Linked DNA regions of Saccharomyces cerevisiae S288C. The gene in region 2 interacts genetically with the main gene of each other region. Each region holds a gene or a part of one and is shown on either strand. Other genes may lie near its edges.

Region 1 (7,665 bases), on a different chromosome or scaffold from region 2:
ATACTTTCTTTTATGTTGATAGAGCAATAACACAATGGCCATTTAAAATCTAGCCAGCAAAATATATTCACCGGTTCGTACAATCTCATTTACTATTCCCTCTGAACGTCTTGACTTTGCTCCGCCAGCAAATTTTCCAATCCAACATGCAAGTCACGAAATGACGAATGAAGGCTGTATCAATCGTTCCTAACTGAGGATGGCTGAATAAAAATGAAGGGAAATTCTACGACAGTTTTAATTAGTTAATGAAGGGGTGTGAAAAAGTTAGAAAAAAAAAAAGTCAAATTCAGGAGAATAGACAAGCCTACATTTTCTGTAGTTCAAAACTTTTTATGGTTTGACTTTGTTTTTTTTTTTTTTCGTTTTTCTTTTTTAGTTGAACTAATGGGACCCTCAAACCTAAAATTTTCCGTTTTCGTTTAATCCTCGCATCATATATACCAAATAAGGACACAGGGTTTTCAGTGAGCAAATGTAAGGGTTTCTATGGATTATAAGCCCTTCGGATCAGAAACAGGGTTCCGTAGTTTGGGCAAGAATTGCCCTTAGTCCTGAGTCAACTGCAAAAATCTGTTTAAATTATTGCACCCAAATGTGATACAAATGTATACTATTATAGAGGCTGCCACGGCTTACAATTGCACCCCTCTGTGGCTTTTGAGTGGCGAAGGGTCTATGTTTGGATAATAGAGATGACTTATTTAATTGAAATGATGGTTTGGGTCCTAGCAGAACTCTAATATAGCAAAAAAGTGCTCGTGAATGTCTCTCTGAAAATGCTGGAAACTGATCACTCTAGGAATGACAATTTAGACGATAAAAGCACTGTCTGCTACAGCGAAAAGACAGATAGCAATGTTGAGAAGTCTACCACGTCTGGCTTGCGCCGTATAGACGCTGTCAACAAGGTCTTGTCTGACTACAGCTCTTTCACAGCTTTTGGAGTTACGTTTAGTTCACTCAAGACCGCCCTACTGGTGGCTCTGTTTTTGCAGGGTTACTGTACTGGACTCGGAGGGCAGATTTCGCAATCAATACAAACCTATGCCGCTAACAGTTTTGGAAAGCATTCTCAAGTAGGATCGATCAATACCGTCAAATCAATAGTAGCCTCTGTTGTCGCAGTGCCATACGCACGTATATCTGATCGGTTTGGACGTATAGAATGCTGGATTTTTGCGCTTGTGCTCTATACTATTGGAGAAATTATTTCTGCTGCTACTCCAACGTTTTCCGGACTTTTTGCAGGTATTGTTATACAACAGTTCGGTTATTCTGGATTTCGTCTTCTTGCTACAGCACTGACTGGTGATCTGTCTGGATTGAGAGATCGTACATTTGCGATGAACATATTTCTGATTCCCGTGATTATAAACACATGGGTAAGTGGAAATATTGTTAGCTCAGTTGCTGGTAATGTTGCACCATATAAATGGCGTTGGGGCTATGGAATTTTTTGCATCATTGTGCCCATCTCCACCCTAATATTGGTCCTTCCCTATGTGTATGCTCAGTACATTTCCTGGCGCAGCGGTAAGTTACCACCATTAAAATTGAAAGAAAAAGGACAGACCCTGCGTCAAACGCTCTGGAAATTTGCGGATGACATAAACTTAATTGGAGTCATTCTTTTCACTGCTTTCTTAGTTTTAGTATTATTACCTCTCACAATAGCTGGTGGAGCCACCTCCAAATGGAGAGAGGGTCACATTATTGCAATGATTGTGGTTGGTGGCTGCTTAGGTTTTATCTTTCTAATTTGGGAATTAAAATTTGCTAAGAATCCATTTATCCCACGAGTATATCTAGGTGATCCAACCATCTACGTTGCATTGCTAATGGAATTTGTATGGCGTCTAGGTTTGCAGATTGAGTTAGAGTATTTGGTCACCGTGTTAATGGTAGCATTCGGAGAATCAACATTAAGTGCGCAGCGGATAGCTCAGCTTTACAATTTTCTACAGTCATGCACTAATATTGTTGTCGGCATTATGCTGCATTTCTATCCTCATCCGAAAGTCTTTGTAGTCGCTGGGTCGCTTCTTGGTGTCATCGGAATGGGTCTTTTGTACAAATACAGGGTGGTATATGACGGGATTTCGGGTCTTATTGGCGCTGAGATTGTGGTCGGTATAGCTGGTGGTATGATACGTTTTCCTATGTGGACGCTAGTGCACGCTTCAACCACCCACAATGAGATGGCAACTGTCACTGGGTTACTAATGTCCGTTTATCAAATCGGAGACGCAGTAGGTGCTTCCATCGCTGGTGCTATATGGACTCAGCGTCTGGCAAAGGAGTTGATACAGCGACTCGGCTCTAGTTTAGGGATGGCAATCTACAAATCACCACTCAATTATCTAAAAAAATACCCTATTGGATCAGAGGTTCGTGTTCAGATGATAGAATCCTATTCGAAGATTCAACGCTTATTGATAATTGTGTCCATTTCGTTTGCGGCTTTCAATGCTGTTCTCTGTTTTTTCTTGCGTGGCTTTACTGTAAACAAGAAGCAAAGTCTTTCCGCAGAAGAACGAGAGAAAGAGAAGCTCAAAATCAAACAACAATCATGGCTCCGTCGTGTAATTGGATATTGAGCTGGAGAGTACTAGCGATACAAATATAGTGTTAAGCTCTTTCCTGAACTAGAATTCTCTTTGAAATAATCACTGTTAATGTAAGTAGTAATCAATAATGGCGTGTAACAGTATAATATTGTTGTCTGAAATAAAAAACAACAAAAAGTTCGAATTAGTTTTATTTTATTTTTCTTTTCTAACTAAGTGAATATCCATACGTTTGTTACGTTTATTTCAGCAATATTATAGTCTTAAATGGGCTTGACAATACAAAAATCAATGAGATTATTCGCACCTGTCATTTCCCGTAGTTTTTATAAAGAAATATAAAAAAAAATGTTGCGAAGAACTTTTACTAGAGCGTAAACGAATTAAAAAAAATTAGTAGTGTAAATATAATCACCACCTGCCGTAAGCCTGCTTGAGCCCTTTATTATTTAGTTTTAGCTGTTGCTAACCTGACTTTCATACTTCTTATAATTGACGTCATAAAAAATATTCAAAGTTCGAAAGAATGAAGAAAACATTGACCGACTTAAAAGAAGCAGTAACCCCACGAAATTTTAACCAGTGCTGATTGTGCGAGAAATCGACTCCAACAGTCTCAGATCAGAGAATATATGAAATATTAGTGGCCCCATACTTATAATGGTTCGCTGATTAATGTATAACAAGCGTGAAAGTATGTATAGCTGCACGGATTGTAGATAGAGCTCATTTAATATTAGGTATTTTGCCCATGTCATTTTTGTGCAAGTCATTTTCTCCTTTGGAACTAAATTTTCTTTAAAATATCTCATATACAAAAAATCCTAACTCACAAGTTAATGTTTTCCATCATAAGTAGACGTTTATTTAAAACATGTTATTATATATTGATCCACTCTTTGCAGTGTCGTTTTCCTACAAAAATTAGATACTTAATCTTGAGGAGTGTAGAAATAAGTGAAGGCGACATAAAGATAGAGAAACAGCCATGAAATTTAGTGAAAGCTGACACTCAAGAATTAGGAATGTAATAAGATAATGAATCACAACATATAAAATGGAAAGTGAAGTAATAATACTATTCTATAGAATAATCGACGATCCTTCATGAATTGCTATATATCTGAGGAGAACTTCTAGCATATCCTGCATACCTAATATTATAGCCTTCAATAATAATGAAAATCCTAACAATTATCCAATTATTCACCAAATTCTCTATTTCAACAGTAGTATTATGGCATTGATTATATTGCAAGCTATAGATTCGATTTCATGAATTCATAACACTCTAAAAGAGAACTTCTGCAATACTCTGTACAAATAACATTATTACTTTTACTAAAAATAGATTTCCGGACACTAACTTTTGAATTCTTATCAAAGCAGTCGAATGCCGCGTCCTACGGTTTATGTATATAGATTTAAAAATACACGTTAAAGACTGTTTTCTCCATAATTCTTGTTTAATATACCTATGAACATAAGCGAGTCAATCAAACTCGGGAGTAAAATGCTTTAAGGCACGCCGCTTAACCTTTTAAAATACATGTCTGAACATTATGTAACCAAACTAAAATTGCTTTTAAATGGATCCGCGCAATATCTAAAAACATTAACTATAAAGGATAAAAATTTTGGACAAAAAATAGCAGTAGCATGTTTGCTTCCTAAGCGTTTGAAGTCAAAACCATTTTTAAAAGGGTAGAGAGGCTTAGTAAAAAATGGTTCCCTTATTTGGTTTATTTTGCATTTTTTCTCAATTGTACTCATTATGCTCCGCATATGTTGATATCACCAGCGGTTACCAAGTATTTTTCAACTTGCCAACTAATATGACAAACAATCAAATATGCTGGCTATTCCAAGCATCTTACTATGATATTTATTCTGATAAAAGTGGTAGAACACTTAGAACGGGACGGTTTGAACCCGGCGATCAGCAATCTTTGATTTATAGGGATACCTTAGTTGAGTTGGAGGCTATTACAGATTCTTATGAGTACAGTAACCTAGATCTATCGACTTATAACGGACCTGAGCCATATAATTCTGAGACTGATTATTGTACAGATATAATGGATTTGGTAATGCGTGTATATGATGAAGAAGGACATTATGTTCATCCAGTTGCGAATAACTCAACAAATGCTTGCGCTCATCCAACTCCTCCTACGTTAAACAATCTATTGATAAGTAATTATTCTGACGGAAGAAATTATAAAGAGTCTTCTATATAATGGTGTAGTAAGGATACTGGAACCCTTTTATGACACATTTAGCAGTAAGATACATTTTTGGTTGATGTGATCAAGATTTTTTAGTTTGTAGATTTATTATATAGCACTGGGACATCATTAACATCGCACTTTCGAGTTAATGTATGTATACACAACATCGAGGAACAACAGCATCTAGGGTTAATGACATTGTATTGTATACTTTCGTTGTGCTAGTGGTGGCGTGATGCAAGAAGCTGATACATACCTGAAAATGAAAGAGGACGTAGCTATACGGTGTTTGTGGACGAGTTCACATACAGTACTGAAAAAGATGAGGATGGGCTGAGATAAAGTTTGAATGATAATGAATATTATTACATCTTCTTTCATTTTATATACCGTCATTCATTATCCCATGAAATTATCAAGCCTCGCGTTTCAACCTCTACTAAAATCGTTGACTGTTTCTCAATATTTATGTCTTTCTTACGTTGTATACGATAATATACACGTACTATGGATACTAGTCGATATATGATAGTTAATTCTCATTCCAATAAAAGTCGACACTACCGCTACCACCTAAAGTTATACTGTTTTTATGCGTGCGTACGCAACAGTTCATCAGAAAAATGTCTATCGTCAGAATCATCCCTCTGACATTTCAATTCCAAAAAGATTGCTCTATCTTTGGAAAGTGGCTAAACCTAGGAGTATTATAAAACTCACAAGTTCTTAGAACTTGCTTCGAGAGATCATAACAGGACAAGTATAATACGAGACGGAATAAGATTATCATACCAAAGATACAAAATAAAACAATTGGTAGTCTAAGGTGACAAAATTAACTGAAGCTGTAGCTAGCAATAAAAAAAAGATTCAAGATGTTCAGGGAGTGACGTATATTCCAATGCTTCCAATACAGCAGGCTTCAAGATTGTTGCTTCACTTTCAGGGCGGTGATTTGAAAGCAAACTCCCAAATTTACACTTAATTCTTCTCCTGAGCTGTTCAATGCAAAATGCACAAATTGTTATTTCCCATATAATAATTCCAGTTGACAGCACTATATCTAAAGGTTTCCGTATAATGATGATTTACCGCGTAGTATCATATAAGGGAGTAACAACAGCATTAATTATCGTGCCATTACTAAAAATAACTTAAGCATCAAGCGTAAATTATTGAACTCCAAACTCTATCAAACACTTAAAATAAACCAATATTGAAGAAAATTCGCAATATGTTGTAAAGATTCTGCTGACTAGAAATGGCAGGTAGGATTTTTTTTTTCTATCTAAAATGGTAAGATGAGCATTTTTTACTTGGAACGAGTGTAAAAACAGCAAGGTTACAGCCACATAATTCTCTAATAATACTGATGGAAAGCCGTCTTATTCGGAAGCTGTGAGTATTTTTTTCGTTGATTTGTTGCCAAAAAAATCCATGCAGAAGTGTACTCACTGGTTTTCATTTACCTTTTCAGCAGCACACCTGCCTGCCCCTTATTTTTAACGATTTCTTTCCATTTAGCGTAACTGCTGCCTCGGATTATTATGGTGTTTTTCCACCAGCTCTGCTTAAAGCGTAGAGTTCGCTTGTCTTCTCCCTCCCATCAACAGGAATTTTATTGATCGCGTAATTTCCTACCGACAGTTTGCAGAATGCCAGGTCAGACAGATTAAATATTAAATGAATAGCCCCATAGAATAAGTACTATATATACGCTGCTAGTTTCTTTGTTTTGTCGAGTTTGGGACCAAACCAATACCATTTGTGGAATCACTGCACATATGCAATACTGTGAACTCGATTTATCAGGGCAGTGGCTGGATACAGTATATTGTGAAGAGAATTTCTCCGACTTTGTCTTTATAAAGTTTCTAAATCCTTCACAGTTTGAAGAGAAGATATATTGTTATACTTTACATATCACCAAAAGGACACTAGAAAATAAGAGATTACTTTTGTATTATGAAGATGAATTCAAAAAACATGGTCACGATATTAATGAGCTTGTTGGCGACGGTATAATCTTGCGTTCATGCTGGAACCCTCGACAGTAATCAGACCGAGATTCATGCGTATGCTAGCTCTGTTGTCGACTCAGTAAACTTACAGCAAACCAATGGTACTATCAATCTAATCATAACTGAATTCAATGGTACTACCATTGGCTTTGATACAAACGTTACCAAAATTAATATTCTTGACGCCGACTTTTCTTTTCTTCGCCAACAAGTCAACCAAGAAATGCTAAAAAGAGGAAAAGGGTGTCTTAACGCAAGGTATCGTATCTCGACTGGAGGTTGTACTGATTGCGGTAAATCGCTCGGCTATTCATCTGCACACAATTGCGGTGGAAAGGGCTATTCATGCATTAAAACGTGCACAGAGAAGAATGGTCATGTTTGCTGTGAAGAGTGGTGTGGATCCAAACGCGCTGTCCAAAAAGAGGGATTTGAGAGTGGATGCTGCTTTAATAATCAATGTTACGGTGGCCATGACCACCATGATGAGCTTTAAATAATAAAGTTTAGGTAATATATATAAAGTGGGATAGTATACAAGCAAGAACGTATTAAAATAAAAGCTGGAAAAAAAAGTCACCAAAGCACGCATCTATGTGATGGCTTATTCAATCTTATATAAAGAAGAGCAATAATCTTGGGCTATTTTTGACTGAGAAAACTCTGTTGTTGGCCATTTTTAGAAAGAAGCACCCATTTTTTTTCCGATTTCCTATCCTACTCACCTGGTAATTGTAACAGTGCTTTTTCAGTTCCATCATGTACTTTCGCCTCTTAATACGATTAAACACAGCTTTAGACCAGTTTAAAGAGATACAGTGATTAAATAAGGTGGTCTGCAAT
Region 2 (5,556 bases):
CACTCTTCTAGTACACCTTGACATTGTTCGTGCGTAGCAGCTGTATAAAGCACTTTTGCAAATTCAGGTTCACAAGGAAACTCGCACATCATTTTACCTAACCGAGTGATTGTCCCTTTGCTATTTAAGGCACCTAAAATGTATAAATTTTCCAAAGACTTCCGTAATGTGGGGATACTGGGCTTATCCATCAGGGGAAACTTTATTAGGTCAGTAACGCCAAGCGATAATAATAATAACACCGTATTAGAAAGATTTGTTCTTGTGATCTCAGGCTTAGGCATAAGTTCCAACTCGTGCAAATATGACCATTTGGTAAAAATTCTAAAACATTTTCCCGGCCCAACACGACCAGCCCTACCGGCACGCTGATCAACTGAAGCTCTTGAGCATGGAACTGTTAAAAGTTGGGTCATTCCAGTGGAGGGTACGTACGAATTTTCCTTAACAAATCCAGGATCAATGACATATCTAATACCATCAATGGTCAATGAAGTTTCCGCAATATTAGTTGCCAAAACAACTTTCCTACAATTTTCCGGAGTCGGCTGGAAAATTTTCAATTGCTGCTCTTGGGGTAAATTTGCGTATATAGGAGTTATAATCATTTGTTTTGTTCTAGAACCTAATTTAGACATGATCTCCTCCAGTTTGGTTTTTGTTCTTTCAATTTCTTCTTGCCCCGTTAAAAACACCAATATATCCCCCGGTAAACTTTGCGTAGTATGAATTTGAAAAATAGTTGTTATAGCGGCATGTATATAGTTTGCCTCCGGCTGTAATGTGTAGTGGATATCTACAGGATATCTTCTCCCAGGAACGTTGAAAATGGGACAATTATCAAAAAACTCTGAAAATTTTTTTGCGTTCATTGTTGCTGATGATATAAGCAATTTTAAAGTGGGCCTCTGCGGCAAAATATCTTTCAGCAAACCTATCAGGATATCTGTGGCTAGAGTACGTTCATGAGCTTCATCAATCATAATACAAGAATATTTGCTTAATTTGGAATCTGTAAGAAATTCTCTTAGTAACATACCATCCGTCATATACTTTAGAACCGTTTTATTTGGGGTTGTTTTGTCTTCAAAACGGATCTGATAACCCACTTCCTTCCCAAGCACAACATTCATTTCATCTGCTACTCTTGCAGCAACAGAAGTGGCCGCCACACGACGTGGTTGTGTTATGGCAATCTGTAACTTTCCCTGATCAGTGAATCCATCTTCTACCAAATATTGGGGTAACTGTGTGGTTTTACCAGAACCGGTTTCACCCATTATAATCAAAACTTGATTTTTTTTGATCTCTTGTAGTAGCTCATCCTTGTATTGATGTACAGGCAAAAGTTTTCTTGCCTCTTGTATAGTCAGTATACGCTTTTCCTCAGTTTCTAAAGCTTGTGCTAGACGTGCCTCATATTGAAGTTTCTCTTCAGGTAGTAAATCGTCCTCCTCATTAGTATAATCAATCATTGCATCTGTGTCGAACACATAATCGTACTTGTCAGAGCCTTCCAATGTTATATCATCAGGGTGATCGCTTTGCCCCGCCATAGCATTTCGCAATTGTTGTTCTTCCCACATGCGTTGTCTGTTTATTTTGTCAATTTCTTTTGCATTCTTTATTTTATGAGTAACTTCTACGTTAAATTTAGAATTAGAAGAGGCGTACTTAGTTTCATTCTCGGAGTCACCTAGTAGACCCTTCTTTGTAGTAAGTTCATTATTTGACGTTATTTTTTCATCATACTTTGATGACTTTTTTTGTGATCCAAGTTGTTCTCCTTTTAAATTGTTCTTTTCTGGACCTTGGTTCGTATTAGAAAAAACTTTATTGGGGTCATAGCGTGATCGTTTTAGCTGCAAGGCAGAGTTCTTATCCTTGGCCTCTTTGTCTTCTTCCTCACCCAAGGAAGAAGGCTCTATTCTTACTGCATTGTCATTCTGTCTTGTAACTTCATACGTTCGTTTCACTCTTCGCTTACCGGTTTCAGATGTAATACTTGACATGTGTTGCTATACACGCTTGTTATCTATATAGATGCCAATTAAACATATAGCAGCTATCCGTTATTACTTATACAATTGATTAATATCACTTTTTAATTGTCCGGGTAACTAACTGTCTTCCACTTTCAGCACGTTCTCGTCATCAGGTTGTATGGGCTAGTACTGTTTTGGCTACATTTGAGATACGAGCACTTAAAGAATTCTTGCATATTTTCGATGATTAGTCTTTAATTTTCCCACTTGTTCTCACTATTTCCTCTATTGTCTTAATACGCTCACATATCGAAGTTTTTTTTTCATGCGATGAGCTTCGAGATGAAAAAAGGAAACTGAAAAATTTAGATCGATAAGATAAGAGATGTGATTTTTTTTTTTTTTCGTAAGGCTGTAGGCCTTGGATAACGTCTTATTTACTATTTATATGCGACATCTTCGATAATTTCATACGTTTAATTTCGAACTCGCATTTATTTTATTTATTATGTCCCATCGTATAGCACCTTCCAAAGAACGATCTTCATCATTTATTTCAATTTTAGACGATGAAACAAGAGACACATTGAAAGCTAATGCAGTCATGGATGGTGAAGTAGATGTCAAAAAAACAAAAGGAAAAAGCTCTCGGTATATCCCACCATGGACAACTCCATATATAATAGGTATAGGTGGTGCTTCAGGTTCAGGCAAGACAAGCGTTGCTGCTAAGATTGTGTCGTCAATTAATGTTCCCTGGACAGTATTAATATCTTTGGATAACTTTTACAATCCATTAGGCCCAGAGGACAGAGCCAGAGCCTTTAAAAATGAATACGATTTCGACGAGCCAAATGCCATCAACTTAGATTTGGCATATAAGTGCATTTTGAACTTAAAGGAGGGCAAAAGGACAAATATCCCAGTTTATAGCTTCGTCCACCACAATAGAGTTCCTGATAAAAATATAGTCATATACGGGGCCAGTGTGGTAGTTATCGAAGGGATCTACGCCCTTTACGATCGCCGATTGCTGGATTTGATGGACTTGAAAATTTATGTTGACGCTGATTTGGATGTCTGCTTAGCAAGAAGATTGTCGAGAGATATAGTTTCCAGAGGGAGAGATTTGGATGGTTGTATTCAACAATGGGAGAAATTTGTGAAACCAAATGCGGTAAAGTTTGTGAAACCAACAATGAAGAATGCAGATGCTATCATTCCATCGATGAGTGATAATGCTACAGCGGTAAATTTAATCATTAACCACATCAAGTCAAAACTGGAACTAAAATCAAATGAACACTTAAGAGAGCTAATCAAATTGGGCTCTTCTCCTTCACAAGATGTGCTTAATCGTAACATAATTCATGAATTGCCGCCCACCAACCAAGTTCTTTCGCTGCATACTATGCTTCTAAATAAAAATCTAAATTGCGCGGACTTTGTTTTCTACTTTGACAGGTTAGCAACAATTTTGTTATCATGGGCACTTGATGACATTCCTGTAGCACATACGAACATAATTACACCTGGTGAGCATACCATGGAAAACGTTATTGCCTGTCAATTCGATCAAGTTACAGCTGTTAATATTATTCGATCTGGCGATTGTTTTATGAAGTCTTTGAGAAAGACGATCCCCAATATCACAATTGGTAAATTGTTGATTCAGTCCGATTCACAAACTGGGGAACCTCAACTGCATTGCGAATTTTTACCCCCAAATATAGAAAAGTTTGGCAAGGTTTTCTTAATGGAAGGTCAAATCATAAGTGGTGCGGCCATGATCATGGCCATCCAGGTGCTTTTAGATCATGGTATTGATTTGGAAAAGATTAGCGTGGTGGTTTATTTGGCCACTGAAGTTGGTATCCGACGTATATTAAATGCATTTGATAACAAAGTCAACATTTTTGCTGGTATGATCATCTCCAGAGAAAAGTTACAAAATCATCAATACAAATGGGCATTGACCAGATTTTTTGATTCAAAGTATTTTGGTTGTGATTGAGAATAATTAGAGGCAATATAAAGTAAAATTAAATAATAGTGCACGTATACATACTATATTAGTAACCTTTCATTCTCTCTATGGATAATCTTAAAATCCCATTACTTTCAATATGCCATAACCTACTGTAACAATAGCGGCATAACTTAACAAACTGGCTGGTACACCTCTCGTAATAAATGTACCCACGGTCAAATATCTATCACCAACTTCATCAATCATTGAAATGGCAGTCACGTTGGGGAAACCAGAGGTTGGAAGACCCATAGCACTAGAGCATAATAGGGCGGCTATAACGATCAATAGTCTAGAATGATCACCTGAAGGTAGATTGGAACCGATCTCACTCATTAATGGTACGATGATCATTGCCGCGACGGTATGGGAGACAAAAGTGGCCATTACAAGAATCACTAGACCGAAGATCAACACAATAATGAAGATTGGTTCATGCTCAACCTGCGCCTTAATTAACTGTGCCATTGTAGACAATAAACCGGATGAGCTTACCGCCTTACCTAGGGTGGTACCTCCCATGGCCAAAACAACGATTGTCCACATGAAATTATTGAAATCATCCGAAGTTAGAAGACCTGTACCGAAGAAGACTACTATAGGTATAATAGATATGATTCCCATTTCACCAAAGATACCGGAGATTTGGTTTGAAAGACACCAAAGAACAATTGTTATAATGCAAACTAAAGTGACAAACCATTGCTTCAGAGTGAATGGATCACGGGATGGATGCAATTGCAAAATTTTCACATTTGGCTCAGGAGGGAAGGTTATGATCAATAGCACCCAAATTGCCATGACACAAATAAAGCACACAGGTAGCGCAATCATAAACCATTCAGCCCAAGATGGTGAAGGGTCCATTATACCAATAGAAAAAATGTTTTGAGGAGAAGCGATGGGAGAAGACATACCACCGATATTGGAGGCAAGAGCGATACCAAGAATTAGAGCTTTGGCATAGGAACAATTTCTTGGCAGTGTTCTGAGCAAAGGTTGAACAATTGAATAGCAAAGAACGGGGGCAGCAACATTAGAAACCCACATGGAAACAAAGAGCGCCACAAACATATTTGTTAAAAGAATAAAATGTGGGTTTGTACCGGCGGATGCCAAAATATGCGTAGAAAGGACTTTGGCAATGTTGTACTTGGAAAGGGCGGCTGCTAAAGTAAACCCACCCAGCAAAAGCATGATGACACTCGACCACATCGTTGATAAGATGAACTGAGAGGAATCACGGGGAGACATTGGTTGGGAGGTGATAGGGTCCTTGATAACAGGGAACACTACAATAAGCAGAGGAATCATTAGAGAAGTCACGAAAAGGGGGATGGTCTCAGTGGCCCATAATAAAGATGCATATATTAAGATGGCGAAACAGTTTTTCTGTAAGGAATCCTGCGTAAAAGGAGTCAAATTAAAAGTTAATAATGCAATGAAACATGAGGTGATTAACAGAAACTTCAGCAGGGAAGTTTGGCCCATGATAAATTGCAACCATTGCTTGGGTGGTAAATGCATGAGTTCACGGAAAGT

Evidence for each region.
Region 1: mutations in URK1 (region 2) and CSS3 together harm fitness more than expected from each alone (negative genetic interaction), as found in Saccharomyces cerevisiae (one large-scale study listed by BioGRID).

Annotation. Positions count from the first base shown.
Region 1 is NC_001147.6:14,426-22,090, reverse strand, and holds CSS3 (Css3p), read left to right. Parts: upstream 1-4,294; coding exon 4,295-4,810; downstream 4,811-7,665. Other genes in the region: ENB1 (Enb1p), read left to right, coding at 780-2,600; YOL159C-A (uncharacterized protein), read left to right, coding at 6,586-6,858; YOL160W (uncharacterized protein), read right to left, coding at 7,437-7,665.
Region 2 is NC_001146.8:644,939-650,494, forward strand, and holds URK1 (uridine kinase URK1), read left to right. Parts: upstream 1-2,493; coding exon 2,494-3,999; downstream 4,000-5,556. Other genes in the region: DEAH-box RNA-dependent ATPase PRP2, read right to left, coding at 1-2,012; PHO91 (Pho91p), read right to left, coding at 4,090-5,556. UniProt on the Saccharomyces cerevisiae protein: Catalyzes the conversion of uridine into UMP and cytidine into CMP in the pyrimidine salvage pathway.